3 linked regions of the Caenorhabditis elegans genome follow. The protein of the gene in region 3 interacts with the protein of the main gene of each other region in a pairwise test. Each region holds a gene or a part of one and is shown on either strand. Other genes may lie near its edges.

Region 1 (5,372 bases), on a different chromosome or scaffold from region 3:
TTTTTTCCGAAAAAAGAACGGTATTGTATGTATTTCTCTCCTCTCGGCATACCAACTACTACTTGTCTTGTATTTCAGTTTTTGGAAGTGGATGCTTCAAGAGGTTGGGGTTATTAGAAACGTGGCAGCTAGTTCTAGAATGCCAGAAGTATCTGAAAATCTGGAACTTCGCAAACACGCTTGAAATGAAATAATTTCGCTTTTGTAATCTCTCACTATTTTATTGAAAGTATTAATCGAGACACTTAGGAATCATGTAAAAGTTGAGAAAATAGGCAGTCGTGAGCTACTCAGACAAGTCTGCATATTAAGAAAAGTGTAATTTTGCAGGGTTTCTGAATATATACCAAAAAATCAGACGATCTTAGGCATATTCTCTGAAATCTCTCACTTTTCCTATTTCTTTTCTTTACGTTCGGCTTCATCTTGTTGCGTAATTGTAGACACTGTCTCCTCCTCTTCACGAACAGTTATTATTATTGTGGTGTGCTTGGCTTGTAAAAAAGGTGTTTGTGTAGAGTACTTCCTACCTTTCGTCTTCTTTCTAGAAGTGTATACACATGATGATATCTTTCTTCATGGATTTTAGTAGTACTGTGTGTCTGTGTCAATATACCTCCTTCCGGACGGATGGCCATTTATTATATTCTTTCATCATAAAAGGTCATATGAGGTGTCGATTATAGGGTTTAAATGAATAGAAAGTTCTTCTTCAAAGACAAGTCTTAGTACGGATGAGGACTAGAGCCTTTAGTTTTTTTCTCTGTTGAAGATTTTGTTTGAAAGTTTTCACTTTCCGTTGAAAATCGAAACCAAATGTTAACCATGTGGTGGTCTGTAGATAATTTATGTCCCTCTACGGTTTTTATCACCTTTGTTTATTATCACTGATCGTTGTAATTAGGCCACGGTTTTTATGTTGCTTCTTCTTCTTCCTTCCTTTGAAATTTTTTTTTGAAAATAGTTGTTAAAAACCTGTTAAGATCTTTTTTATCGATACTATGTATACCACCGTGTTTACCATACGACTTTGAGAAGGAGGTAAATGTTGATTTTTAGTTTATAAATGATCTTTACCATGGGGGAATGTAGAAGGAGTAAAATGTGTTGTATACATTGGAATTTTAGTATGATATGTGGATTTTTTGGTTTTGAAATTCTAAGTTGGCAGTTAAAAGTAGTTAAAATTTTGGATAATGTGAAAGCTTTTAAATTCAACAGACCCTCAAGCTTCCTATGCTTCTCATATTCAAAAACACCTCTCTATTTTTGTACATTGCAACTTTTTTGAATTTTAGGACTTGATGGAGTGCTACATATTCCCATATTGGGACTACTGTTTTTGATGGTTTCAGACAAATCCAAAACTTTTCAACTATTAAAATATCTGAATTCAAAGAAATATGTGTTTTCCTGCCACCATCTCATGTTCACGATGTTTAGTATAGTTTCTTTTAACAACTATATTTACAAAATTGTTCTATAAATATTTGTGCTCATCTCTGGTCCATTAACTCTTCTGCTCTATTGGGTTGTCAGTTTTTTTTTCCAAAAATATTTATTTTTTCTTGTTTTTGTCCATTATTTCCATCAATTTCCTTCCATCAATCCACTCTCAACACTTCCTTCAATAGTATAGTTTCCACACCTTTTCGGCAAATAAAACACACAGACACCATCCAAAAAATTCGGAAGACTTTGTGTTGCCACGTCATCTTTTTGATCGGAAATGGTTCAACGCGAGCTGTTGCTCAAGTGTCTATTGAGAAGAGTGTGTTGTGTCGGAAGAAAATACGCTTGAAATTTCTGTCCGATTTTCAATTTCGATTGCTTATGAGTGTGAGCATTATGGATTAATTTGCTCCAGTTTCTGTCTTTTTTCCGTTTGGTCAATTTCGATGCAAAATGAATGAGTTTTCTGTGACCAAAAAGTTGATAAAGGGTTAATTTTTCATTGTTCCTTAAAGTTTTGCGCTCTAGATATTTTTGAAAATGATCCTTTCTTGTTTTATTTTTAGCCAATAATTGCTCTATCAAATTTATTGAAAATTTATTTTCAAAATTCAAAATACTTGTATCCCCCACTTTCATTCTTAATCCAATTTCTGTCACATCCGTTTCTCATCAAAAATAAAAACGAAAAGTTTTTCTCTCACCTTTGTCATTCTTTTACTAAAACTTCCTCCTTTACCATTTTTTTAAATCAGAAAGTTCCAGGTAGCCAATACAAAAATCAAACATATTTATTTTTGAATTATCAAGTTTTATCACTTGATAATTTTAAATTGCAAAAATAGCGACTTCAATTGACAAACCACAATCAAGGCATTCGTCAAGGATGACGGCAAGACCATATGAGCCACCACCGGATTATGTGAGTTTTTAAAAAAATTTTAAATACTGGTTATCTTCTGTATTTACTGGATATATAACCAAAATTTTGTAAGGCATTTGTTAACTACACTTTTTAAAATAAAAAAATAATTAGATTAATATTGTCAGAACTGTAAACTTTTAAAAAGTTAGATATTTCCCATTACTGTAATTTTTGGAAAAAATCTAACATTTCTGGAACTTTTCGCCTGTAAGGTTATTATGTTTTTTTTATTCGAGAATGTTTTGAAAAATTCAATACTCCGTCTTGTAAAGCGGTTTCAAACCCCACGTTCACGTTCACGTCCACGTTCAGTATTGACCAAATATTAGTATTATAATTGCTCGATGTGGCAGTTGAAGTTTAAACTGTTCTAGAAAAAGTTTAAAATATACCGAAAAAGTGAAGCAAAAAAAAGTTATTGATGGGTTTAATTTTTTGGTAAAACTGACTATGTCGGCATACGATTTTTTCAACAAATGTTCAACCTTTCCCCCCAGCTTTTTCTCTTCTTTTTGCAACTTTTTCATGTTTATTTACACAATAATATGTGCTCTTTTTCTATATTCTTGCTTTCCCGCGCACTCTCATTTGACAGTAGTATGTTCATTTTCAATTCTTCACACCAAAAAACTGGTTTTCCCGCAAGCGGTATCTTTTCTTGTTGCCGCTGTGGGAGCCGACCCGGCAATGACTTTTGGCACCTGTTGAAGCATACTTTTTCAACTGTCTTTGTGTGCATGCAGACTATGAACTCCACTTGAAAATTCATATCGGATTTCGATAGGATAATCAGGTTGGTGTGGGTAAACGTCTTAGGTTTTTTAGGGAAAATTAAAAAATTATAACTTCTTTAAAAAAACGTATTTTTAAACTTAAAACTTTAAAGATCGTGTGTGTAGAAACACTCAGTTTATTGACTTTTTCAAAAGATTAATTATATTTAAATAGTCGCAAGATGATGTAGTCATAGAATGCAAGAGACATATAGAGAGCACGCAGAGAAAGTCGCAGTTTTGATATTTCTCGGGGTGTTATCAAAACATTTTTCCTTTTTTCTCCTTTTTTTTCAAGAAGCCCCTATTTTTTTGAAAATTCATTATTTTGATCAAAGCGGTGACATTCTCAAAAAAGGATGCCTTCTTTTTAAATTTTTTTATAAAAAATTTCTCTGTGAGCTCTGTATCATCTGTTTTTATCCACAGTTTCTCATAATTGACGGCTGTGCTTAGAATCTGACAAACTGGTACCAGACTACTAGATCTTCTTTTTCCTCCGTTTTCTCTTCATTTTAGATTCCTAGCAGATTAAGATTGAATCATCAAATTAGTGAAGTGAAACCGTTGCTAATTGTCTGAAACAATTTGTTTACTGGCAGCTTGCGAAATAGTTTTTTTTGGCTTTGGCTTTTTTGGCTTGAATCAGTTTTGGATAATGTCAAAAAAATTTTGCCGCTTTGAAATTAAAGACAATAAAATTTTAACAAGACGATTTGTCTGAAGGTTACAGAGAATGACAAAAGGAGAATTTTTAAAATTCAATTTTCTTTTCTAATAGAGAACGTACTCAAAACTTCAATGATATCATATTATTGACCCTATCCGATGTTACAGAAAATTCTGTTTGTACAAGATATCCAGATGTCATATGAACTTTATCGCGTCATTTTTTCTCACCCAACTCCCAATTGTTTGCGTTTATAGATTTTTTTATTTTTTAATCAAGACATTCTAACATCACTTGGTTTTTGATAGTTTATCTAAGTTGGATATTTTTGATAAGAGCCTATATACATATATGAATAATATTTGAACATTTTGAACGCTTAGTGAATTGTTTGTGCATAAATTAAAAACATATCGGAAATTATTTTGCTAAATGCTTTTTTTGTTCTCGAGAATCACTTTCCTCGCGAGTCATCATCATCAGAATCGTAAAAGATATATCAAATATCCGGTGTCGTTTTCTTTTCGAACTTTCTCCTCCTCCTCCTACCTCCATCACTATTCCAATTATCACAAAGGAACGATGAAGCGTTTTTTTTTTGTGTTGAAAATGGCCTCTCTCCTCCGATTGACGACCTTATGGCTGCGTGTGGATCATCTTGTTCCCCTATTGAATTATCCTGAAAGACGACGAGAACATTGATTCAGAATGAAAGAAGGAGGTTTGAACAACTATCTCAAGATGTGTTAGGCTTATTCTTTCAACTTGAATGATCTTGATTTGCACTTTTTCTTTGGAGACCGTTTTTTGGCATTTCTTGTACGCATTGTTCTCGTTGCAATACGTTTAATATCACAGATACCAGTGCTCACGAATGTGACGGGAAAAGTGTTAGTTTCCCAAATATGTTCACTTCTTTTCTACATTTGACAATGTTTTTCTAGTACTAGGTAGAAATAAGATATGAACCATCAAACGTCTCTTCAATAACATTCGTCTATTTGTGCAAATTTTGAATGCTTTCAATTTTAAATTGCTTTCTGTAATTCTTTGGTTTTTCGAAAAGAAGACCAATTATTAATTTTGAACCAGCTGAGAATTTAACCTAGAAATATTTGAAATTCTTCGTCGATATAGTTTTTACATCTCCCCTCGATTGCAACTTATCCAAAATGTGTTCTTCCAAAAAAATGCTTATCATTTCCTTTTCTCATGAATTCCAATCCAGTGTTTTTTCATCTTCCTCCTCCTTCTTTCCCTGTTTTTGTGTAGCTTCCTCTCTGATTTCTCCCATTGATAGTATCGGCTAATAACCCTATCATTTTTGCTTCCCAGTTCACCTTCTTCCGTTCGTCCACCTTTTGGATGCTTACCCGAAAAGATCTCATCATCTACGCATGATTTATGACATACCCCACACACAACTTCTAAAACCAAAACGCCCAATTTACATAGATAATCATTAATGTCTCATGGCTACTTACAGCTTGATGACCACCGGAAGTTTATTTTACTTTTTATTGTTAACTTACAATTATAGAGTTACGTCTGC
Region 2 (5,140 bases), on a different chromosome or scaffold from region 3:
AAAAATTTATTTTTTTTTCTTTTTAATTTTCTAATTCAAAACCCACCAGCAATATTGTAACCCTTTACACTTCCACTTTGATAGCATTGGTACTTGATATAGTTTTCCACAAAATAACTTCCCGGATTACAATTCTCCAGGTTAATTGGAGAAATTGCAGCTGAAAGTGGAAATATTCCGAAAAGTAGGAAAGTAACGATGTTCATGTCGAAAAGACAGGAATGAAAATTTGGGGAGCTGGGATGGGTGAGGGATGTCAAAAAGTGCAGTAAAGAATGCAAAAAAACATGAGGGGAACAGAGATGTGGGGGAATTTAGGGAGAACGATTTATCAACCGATCGGACATGTCTCTGCGAGTATCAAATACATCTCTGGTACATTTATTATTGATCGGGCTTTATTTAAAAAAACAAAATGGGGAGCTCATAGAGCTCAATTATATGACAAATGTTTATTTTTTAATGACAATAAATAGACCATAACGAGACCACAGTCCTGAAACTTCTCAAACTAGGGAAACAGTTTTCTGCTAGTATTTTTTTTCCTAAATTGTTTTACTACGCTAACGCGGATTTCTTGAAAGCTTCGAATCTTAGATGCAGGCTTTCTGGTGATGGTACTAATTTATTGTTAAGTAACTTGGTACTTACTTTTCAAAATTCTAAACATTTATTCATTTTATAGTTATCAAAATTGAATATATATACACAACCAAACAAAATATTCAAATATTGTCAAACTTTTGGAGCTCTGACAAGTGCTTCTTGAGCAGTCGAAATGATAAGTCGACCATCACGAGACCATAAACGGCCTTCAATAAATGCACGACTTCCACCTAGAATTTAACGCCATTTCTTAAAAAATATTTTACAGAATTTTATACCAGCTTTTGAGCTAATTGTCTCATACAGCATCCAATCATCGATTCGAAACTCATTTTCATGCATCCAAATACAATGATCCAGGGAAAAAGACATTGAAGGGATGAATCCGTTTCTGATATGAGGTCGTACTGCCGTGGTGAGCATGCTCAAGTCGGTGAGGTAAGCAGCGACGCACTGATGGAGACGGTGATCATCTCCTGAATCATAGTATTGAAAACGAATTATTTTGAACTTCTAACCCAAATTCTCTCTTGCTCGAATCCAAATCATCGACATTGGCTCAGTATCTTCTTTAAGCAAGTACTTGGCTGGGTTGACCGGGCGAACATCAAAAACTCGCTCAAAAGCATCTGGAATTTCTTTCAAAAAATGTTGGATGACACCAGCGGTGACTTCATCGACTTCTTTCGTGCGGAGCACTTCCAGCGCTGCTTCTCGAGCTGGCTGGAAAATATATAATAATGGAAAGTAAACCTAGAATTGCAGTGTAATGTTATTATATTTTTTAGTTATATTTCAAGCTTCCATGGGAGGTGGGCCTGTTTTCAGGACGTGACGCCTGCCTCTAACCTGCCCGCCTCACGCCGGCCTCTCGCCTTATTTTTACGCCATGGCGAACAATCAAAGGCTTCATGTTTGCACCAAATAGTGCCAAAGGTGGTTCTTCCGTCGCGGCACTATACAGAAAGCGCGTGGCAGGCGTTTTGGTGCCTGCATGGAAAAACTTGATTGTTTTGAAGCAACCTACAAGCAATTGTTCTGGAGGTGTTACTTCCGGCATTTTGGAGCTATGTTTAATTGCATCGGGTTCTTTCTGAAAAGTATCTCTTTTTTTATTCTCTGTTCCATTTCCCCAGCATACATGATGGAAACTAATTTGGCAAGAAAAAATTGCCTCTCCATCCTGCACAGCCTTCACCACTCGCGTACAAAAACTTCTTCCGTCTCGAATGCGGTCGATCATGTAAAGAATCGGTTTGTCCACACTCCCTGAAACACACAACACAACAGTTGCCGTCTTCTGTTATCAACTGACCCGTCTTGATGAAATAGCTATGTAATGAGTGAGGTATGAAACAATCTTCCACGGTGGCAGCTGCTGCCGCCAACGATTGACCAACAACCTAAATATTTGAGGATGATCGGTGGGAACTGATATATAGGATTTGGAAGTTTATATTGAAAATTTGAGTTTTCTTACCTGACCGCCATAAACGGCATTGTAGGAATGACGACCCTTCAACAAGTGGCGAGCGCTGCAAGAAAATCTAATGTTCTCATGTTTTGTGATGATCGAGTCAGGAATTGTGCGACGTGTGATGTCACATCATTCAAAAATATATTATAAGCAGAGTCAAAGACTTTATTAATAATGCACATGCCTGAACACTTTTTACACTTTTAAGGATATTTTTGTAGTGACTGTTCCGAAAAATGTTTGAGCTGTCTCCGAGCACCAATCAAAATGTTGTTGAGCAAAATTTGAAAATACATCATTTTTCCAACACTTACATGTACAGATTGGTATCGATTCTCTGTAGATTCAGAAAAGTATCAATGAGCCCTGCTTTTATATCATTTGCTCTTGACTCAAACTCGATATGCTCCACGTTGCACAAAGGAGTTCCCTAAAAATCTTTCAAATTGCAATTGAAACAAACCCTAACATACCTCGGTTGGTGCTTTCGGTTTTGCCATGATCAATCTGAAAATTGAAAATAATAGTTCAAATTTTCAACTGTGTACGCGAAAACATGTTTTGAGAGACGCAGAAGTTTGGGGAGAAAATCATTGAGTGGAGATGACGAACAAAACAATAACGACGCAACAGTGTAGGCTAAATGAGACTTTGAAAAAAAACTAGAACAGGAAGTGATATCTAATAATTTGAACAGTTTAAAATGCATTTGCTACTAAATTCAGAATTCATACTGTTCAAAACTTCAAAATTTAAAAATATAAAAAAACCGTTTTTTTTTTTGAGAAATTGCATTTATAATAATTTCAGAAATGCAGAAAATGCATATTGAGTTGCCAACCAATGATTTATAGTCAGAAAAAGCGGAAACTGGAATTTTGTTGCCTAGTATAGTGTGGCCAAACAAACAAAATACATAAGACCTCACGTGTACAGTTTATCAGTACATTATTACATTTCAAAGTGATCAAAGAGGAACTTCAAATCACATACGCCTGCTAGAAAAAAAAAACACCAGAGCTGCTATATAAAGAACAACTAAAAAGGCTTTTGCGTTTCGAAAAAAGTGTAGAAAACCCTGCCCCAGTGACGTCACTTTTTTCAACCATCATCAAGCCTACATCTTCTTCATAATCAGGTTTCAGAAACAAAAAGGGAAAGAGTACCAAAAAAAATTTTTTTGAATTATTTTTGATCTACATTGGTAAACTGAACACCCCACCTTCATCCGATTAATGGTTACATAGAAAGTAAAATAAAACATTTTATTCGTTAATTCATAAAACATATAAATAACATGAAAATTGAGAAAAATAAATTCTTCAAACTTTTGCAAGTTCAAGCCGTACATTTGAACATGGGTGGTTTGAAATTGTGAAATTACAATACTCAAAATTAACAAAAACATGACAATCGAAGTTGTTACAATAAGGAATCGTTGTATGCCGAACCATAGGCGTGGTAGGAAGTTGTTCTAGGGCCTGACTGTGGCAAGGGTGGCGGTGGAGCATTATAGGTCACGTGGGTTTGAACTGTGGTACGGAGGTGCTCAGCGTTTTCCATTAGTTTGCGGTAATGGTTGATTTCGTTTCGCAAGTTCTGGAAATTATTAAGGAATTTACAAATTTGTGAATTTAAAACTTTAAATTTTGAACATACGATCTGGTTCTCTACTAATTTGTCAAGTTCCACTGAAAGTTTTGTGCATTCCTCTCTCATTTTAATTACTAGATTTTCTTTTTCATTGAGTGCAATTTCGAACAATCTTAGATTTTCCTTGTCTTGGAAGTGCAAGTCGTCGATTCGTTTGATAAGTTGTTGATTCTGAATTCAATAACGTTTCAACAAATGATCCCAAACTCCCAAACTCACGATAGTTTCAGAATCTGAAAGCTTTCCTCGGAACTCGTTGACAATCGACCTAATTCGAAGAATCTCTTCTCTTGCCTGGTTTTGTATTGAGCTATAGCTTTCGGATCCCTTCTTGATTTCCGTGATCTTTTTGTGATACCAATCCTCCCATGTCTTTCTGGCGGCACGTGAATCCTTCTCGAATCGGTCTCGAATCTCTTTCATCGCCGCGTGCAGCTCATTGTGGAAATAGTCCCTGTTCTTGTTTGTTGTGTCACGTCTAGCCTTGCTAATTTCCTCTCGAATGGCAATGTCGTGTTGTGAAATGCACCCGTTAAGACGCTTCAATAACTCTTGAGACGAACTTGAGTGCTTGCTGCGTTCTTTGTCTCGCAGTGCATGCACTCGTTTGATATCACTTCGGAGACGCGAAATTTCAGAGTGGACACGGCTTTTTTCTTCTTCACAGTCAGTTGTGAGACGTTTGATGTAAGAATTCTGTAAATTGTTGGATTTGAGAAATCGGAGAACTCAAAAAAACAATTTGAAAAATGGAAATTTTACTGTTGCACCAGAACTATTGCTAGGTCAAAAAAATAATTTTTTGTATTAATTTTACACAAATTGTGTCTACTAACCTCTGCCTCCAGGTTTGACAAAATTTTCATTTGACTTCTTTTGTCTTCTCTTGTTTGAACTCTCAGCTGGAAAGAGCTTTCCAAACTGAAATTATATGTACAACTAGTTGTATAGTAAATTTACAAAAAACTAACTTTTTCTTTGCAGAAATCACATCTGGCTCCAGTTTTCTGATATTTTGCTCAGCCGTCGAGATCTTAGCTTTGTTTTCACGGACCAAAGTGAAAAGCGACTGCAATTTAAAGTTAAAGCTTAATAGAAAAATGATTACTTACGGCTTTTTCGGATTCAAAATAGACAGCAATTCGTTCCGAATGTGTGTGTGCTGCATTACGGAAAACACCAATGTCGTTTTCAAGAACTCGATTTTGTGCTTCAAGGAAGCGCACCTGAAAAATAGTTTTGTTCAAACAGAATATTATACAATATTTAATATTTTGGTAAAGGCTCAGTGTGCACTTGATACTTTATTCAGGTTTTCCGGATTAATTTATTTAATTATAAAAATAAATTTAAAAAACTTGGCGCACTCCATACCAAAATTATTTGGACAACAATGATTATAAA
Region 3 (5,705 bases):
CGGTTTGATCTACAAAAAAAGCGGTAATTTTTCGCCCAAAAAAATGTGACGTCAGCACGTTCTTAACCATAAAAAATCAGCTGAGAACTCTGCGTCTCTTCTCCCGCATTTTGTGTAGATCTACGTAGATCAAGCCGAAATGAGACACTCCCACACCACGTGAAAATTAAAAATTCAATTTTAAGTAAGGGCTTATCCTCGAGACAATACACCATAATTAACGCGCGAAATTCCAAAAAAAAACTTCATTTTGGCGGAATTTTCAGGAAGTCGTTAATTTTTCCAACCATATTTAAATATTAATTTGAAAAATTTGAGGAATTCGAATTTTAAGTACCCTAATTTTCTTGTGAAAGTGGGCGGAGTCTAAATACCATAATTGACGCGCAAAATTTTGTAAAACTGAATACATAGAATTTCGCGGCATTTTTTTTTGTTTTTTGAAAAAGTTGAACACCGAGCCAAATTTTTAGTATAACAATTATTTTGAAAATTATATTACTAAATTACCAAAAAATTTTCCACGGAGTTCTGGTCTTCCTCGTTGAACTTTTCGCGCTCCATTGACAACCGCCTGCCGGATAACGCGTGGGAAAGTCGTGTACTCCACACGGACAAATACATTTAGTTTTACAACTAAAATCGAGCCGCGACGCGACACGCAACGCGCCGTAAATCTACCCCAGGTATGGTAGAGCCAAGATGGCCTAGTTCGGCAAAAACTCTTTTATTTCAATATATGAGGGAAGCCAGAAATCCGTGAATTTTTATTCAATTTTTTTTTTCAAAATTTTTTGTTTCAAAAAAAAAACGAAAAATTTAAAACAATTCAAATATCCTTTGAGGGCGGTAAACTTCAAAATTTAAAAAAATTTCTCAATTTTTGAATTTTAGGTTATATAACCGGTTATAAGAATTTAAAATTAAAATTCTTTTAGAAAAAAAAATATTGCAACAAAAAAAAAAAAAAAAACTTCCTCCGAGTAATAATAATTGGCAAAAAAAAAGAAAAAAAGAAGAAGCCCGGAGGAGCAGGAGCTGGTACTTGTCCCATTAATTTTCCTTTTTTTCTTCAAACAATAAAAAACAGCTGAATTTTACGGCAAAACTGCTCTAAAAATGTAAAATTTCATTGAAAAAGTAGGCGCAGCCAATACACCATGTGGTGTTTTGGCGCTGTCTCCACACGCAAGTAGTGCCAGGGGCTGTCCCAATACGGTTTGATCTACAAAAAATGCGGGAATTTTTCGCCCAAAAAAATGTGACGTCAGCACGTTCTTAACCATGCAAAATCAGTTGAAAACTATGCGTCTCTTCTCCCGCATTTTTTGTAGATCAACGTAGATCAAACCGAAATAAGAGACACTCTGACACCACGTGTACACGTTTAAACTTTTCCAGCTGTAAAAAATAAAATTTTCAAAAAAAAAACATAATTTTTAATCACATGTCTTGTTATCACTGTGTTATCTGTTATCACAACGACAATTTTTTTCACGAAAATTCTTTATTTTTAGGTATTACCCAAAATATTTGAATAAATTCCAAAACTTTCCGTGTTCTCCGTCCTCCATTTCCCACTTTCACAAATGGTCCATCATCCGAACTTCCGGTGCTCTCTCTCTCGCTGTACAAGAGACACAGAAAACCGAGAGAGAGACAGTGATTCGTGGTAGAGACGCAGACACATATACACACACACAGAAAAGTGATCTGGTGTCTGTGTGTGTGTGTGTATATTGTGAGAAAGAAGAAGAAGAAGACTGCGTGGGTGTAATAATATGCGTCCTTTTCTCCCCCCTTCTCTTTCGATTTCTTTTCTTCAACTTTTATCACTTTATTCACAACCTATTTCCTACCGTTTACCACCTTTTTTTTTGAGGAAACTTTGAATTTTTATTGAAATTGTTCAAGCTTGATTCCACGGAGTTGAAATCTACCAAATTCAAATTCCACTGCCTTCCCCGGGTTTTTTTTCCATTTCGATGGGTTTTTTAAAAAGGAATTAAAAAAAACGTTTTGTTTTCAAATTAAAAATTTAAAAAATAGACTGAAAATTAGCAAAACTGGGATTAATCCCACGGAGTTGAAATCTACGGAGTTCACTTTCCACTGCCTCCTCCGGATTTTGTATTTTTTAAACATTTTCTAGTACTTTTCGATGAAACTTTGCATTTTTTCACCTAAAATTAAAAAAAAAGTTTTCTAATTAGCTGAAAACGATAAAAATAAGAAAAAAAAAACATTTGCGGAGTTGATATCTATGGAATTCACATTCCAAAATCAGGCCAAGACAATTAAATATTGTTTTTTTTTAGCTTCCAGCGCAAATTTTCGAATTTCCAAACAAAATTTTGGTTTAAAACTCTAATTTTCTACCTGAAAATCAGGTTTTTTCATCGAAAATCATCGAAAATTAATTAAAATTCAAATTTCCCTCCATTTCCCCAGTACGTACACCGTCACGCAAAATTGCGTACCCGTCCGATTTTTCGCATTTTTTTGAATTTGTTTTCCTGTTTTTTGATGAAAATCAATAATTTTTTGGCATTTTTCAGGTGCAAATGAAAAGTTATGCACTCAAGCGAGAATACTACACCTAACAGCAGCACGGAAGGGCCATTGTTTCTAAAAGTGAGGGCGAAACAAGTGAAAATCGAGGAAAAAAAGGAAAAATTAGAAAAAATTAGAAAAATACCATTTATATTATTTATTTTCATCGAAAATCAATTATATTTACAGTTTAAAATATTCTAAAAAATCCTAAGTTAAAAAAAAGGAATTGTTTTTTCGCAGACTCACACGAACCCAACACCGCCTGATATATCGCCAAACGATGTGTGGTACCATGGGGAATTAAACGAACACGATGCCAATCATTTGCTTCAGGTTTCTTTTGCGAAAAATTACAAAAAAAATGGCAAAAAATGGCAAAAAACCGGCAAAACATTCCAGGGCACATCTCCCGGCGCGTTTTTGGTTCGGCAAACTGGCCAGACGAGATTTTATCTGTCGATATTGGATCAAGACGGCTATCCGAAACATTTACCGTTGGTTTTTAAACATAAAAATTTAAAATTCAAATTTTTTTCAGCATCCGCCAACTCACCCCACCTCACTACTTTTTCGAAGGAAAGCGTTTCGAGACCCTTCGAGATATTGTAGATGCCTATCAGCTGGCTGTGATTCCAGTTCGAAAAGGAGGAATTATGCCGATTAATGGGGTATTTTTTTGCCCCATTACGGTTTGATCTACAAAAAATGCGGGAATTTTTCGCCCAAAAACATGCCAAATCAGTTGAGAACTCTGCCGCATTTTTTGTAGATCAACTTTATTCAAGCCAAAATAAGACACTCTGACACCACGTGTGATACACCATATTTGACGCGCAAATTTTTGCATTATTGGATAATTTGTTGGATTTTAAAGTGATTTTTCAGAGAAAAAAAAGAAATTTATAATATTGCGCGTAAAATAGAGTGTCTTGAGTCTGTAATCGAGTAGATCAAATTTAACGCGCAAATTTAATTTAAAAAAACAATTAAATTACTCCATGTCTTACGAAAACACAAAATTCTGAGAATGTGTATCACACAACATATTTGACGCGCAAAATATCTCGTAGCGAAAACTACAGTAACCCTTTAATTGACTACTGTAGCGCTTGTGTCGATTTACGGAAGTCAATTATTAATCAATAAAATTAAATTTTAAAAGAAATCTCAAAAATGGCAAAAAAATACAATTCTCATTGGTTTTTTCGTTATTTTTTGCCATTTTTGTGTTTTCTTTTAAAATTTAATTTTATAGATTAATAAATGATTTCCGTAAATCGACGCAAGAGCGCTACAGTAATCATTTAAAGGGTTACTGTAGTTTTCGCTACGAGATATTTTGCGCGTCAAATATGTTGTGTAATACGCATTCTCAGAATTTAGTCTTCCCGTAATAATTTATAATTTGTGCGTCAAATATGACGAATTGGTCAGAATATCGATATACACGAATATAAAGTTTTGTAGAATTATCTGTAATAGTAGTAGTTTTTGCGCGTAAAATATGGTGTATTGAGTCCGTAATCGAGTAGATCAAATTTAACGCGCAAACATGTCCACGTGGTCTCATTTCGGTTTGATCTACTTAGATCTACAAAAAATGCGGCAGAGTTTTCAACTGATTTTGCAAAAAATTCCCGCATTTTTTGTAGATCAAAACGTAATGGGACAGTCGCTGGCACCCCGTGCATGCCGGAATTTTAATATACCATAAAATTTGTTTCCAGGAAATCCAAGAAACCAAGTACCTATGCGTTAGACGATTCGAACAACGCGAAATCGACGAAATGAACTCGGAAATCGGTGATATTCTGTCAGTTTGTGAGACCGACGAGACCGGATGGATGTTAGGACGAAATGAGACGAGCGGTTCCGTTGGAATTATTTTAAGATCACATTTGGAACCTTTGGTAGGGAAAAGTAGGAAAGACTGGAAATTTCTAACTGAAAATTTGAAAATTCTAGGAAAAAACTGATGAAAAATTACAATTTTTAAGCAAAAAAATGTTACGTTTTTTTTCACAATTTTCTACAAAAAATTTAAAAAATTAATTAAAAAAGGCGAAATTGTGCTAATATTACGGGAACACAAAATTCTGAGAATGCGTATTGCACAACATATTTGACGCGCAAAACATAAAAATATCTCGTAGCGAAAACTACAGTAACCCTTTAATTGACTACTGTAGCGCTTGTATCGATTTACGGAAGTCATTTATTAATCAATAAAATTAAATTTTAAAAGAAAACACAAAAATGGCAAAAAAAAATTACGAAATGTCATTTTTGAGTTTTCTTTTAAAATTTAATTTTATTGATTAATAAATGATTTCCGTAAATTGACACAAGCGCTACAGTAGTCAATTAAAGGGTTACTGTAGTTTTCGCTAAGAGATATTTTTATGTTTTGCGCGTCAAATATGTTGTGCAATACGCATTTTCAGAATTTTGTGTTCCCGTAATATCTAATGTAGGCTTTGGCGTACCAAATACACTTATTTTGGTACAAAATCGCGGCGAGACCCATTTATAAATTGCCTACCTAATGCCTGCCTGCTGAAAAAAAAAACAAAAAAATTTTTTTTTTTTGGTCCAAGCTGGATTTCTCCAATTTATTAACACTATTTGAGAAAATCGATAAATCTCGATTTTCGGGGGCAGAAAAATCAATAAATTAACACTATTCAAGAAAATCAATAATTTGCCAAATTTTTGGAAAATTCGATAATTCACGTGGTGTCAGATTGTCCCATTACGGTTTGATCTACAAAAAATGCGGGAATTTTTTTTCCAAAAAAATGTGGCTTCTTCAGCACGCTCTTAACCATGCGAAATCAGTTGAGAGCTCTGCCGCTTTTTTTTGTAGATCAGCGTAGATCAAGAGACACTCTACAACACCGCGTGAAATTCTCAGATTCCGTGCTTTTACAGATCACAGAGGTGGCCGATTTGTCGGATCTACCGTACTTCTACGATACAGTATCCACGGACATGGTGCAATACAGCCCCATTGGCACATTTCTGCTGCGTCGATCGTCTAAAGGAACAGATACCTATGCACTGCTAGTCAAAACTCAATTCGATTTGGTCGAAAAATTCCTAATTGTTGGATGTCCGTCGAGAGGGTTTAGCCTTGCTGGTAGACCATT

Evidence for each region.
Region 1: the proteins of gap-3 (region 3) and C05D10.4 interact in a two-hybrid assay, tested with the Caenorhabditis elegans proteins (one large-scale study listed by BioGRID).
Region 2: the proteins of gap-3 (region 3) and F25E2.3 interact in a two-hybrid assay, tested with the Caenorhabditis elegans proteins (one large-scale study listed by BioGRID).

The regions. Positions count from the first base shown.
Region 1 is NC_003281.10:6,099,708-6,105,079, reverse strand, and holds the start of C05D10.4 (SAM domain-containing protein), read left to right. Parts: upstream 1-2,217; 5' UTR 2,218-2,338; coding exon 2,339-2,374; intron 2,375-3,649; exon of another isoform or gene 3,650-3,670; intron 3,671-5,372.
Region 2 is NC_003284.9:810,518-815,657, forward strand, and holds F25E2.3 (Acyl-CoA thioesterase II), read right to left. Parts: upstream 2,601-5,140; 5' UTR 2,584-2,600; coding exon 2,557-2,583; intron 2,514-2,556; coding exon 2,398-2,513; intron 2,142-2,397; coding exon 2,087-2,141; intron 2,010-2,086; coding exon 1,922-2,009; intron 1,876-1,921; coding exon 1,748-1,875; intron 1,700-1,747; coding exon 1,634-1,699; intron 1,330-1,633; coding exon 1,125-1,329; intron 1,083-1,124; coding exon 885-1,082; intron 837-884; coding exon 736-836; 3' UTR 656-735; downstream 1-655. Other genes in the region: F25E2.2 (Abnormal cell migration protein 18-like fibronectin type I domain-containing protein), read right to left, coding at 47-206; Intermediate filament protein ifd-2, read right to left, coding at 3,506-3,682, 3,743-3,907, 3,956-4,432, 4,573-4,657, 4,708-4,805, 4,849-4,962.
Region 3 is NC_003279.8:2,007,349-2,013,053, reverse strand, and holds the start of gap-3 (SH2 domain-containing protein), read left to right. Parts: upstream 1-2,528; 5' UTR 2,529-2,574; coding exon 2,575-2,634; intron 2,635-2,796; coding exon 2,797-2,889; intron 2,890-2,955; coding exon 2,956-3,050; intron 3,051-3,094; coding exon 3,095-3,224; intron 3,225-4,283; coding exon 4,284-4,466; intron 4,467-5,487; coding exon 5,488-5,705.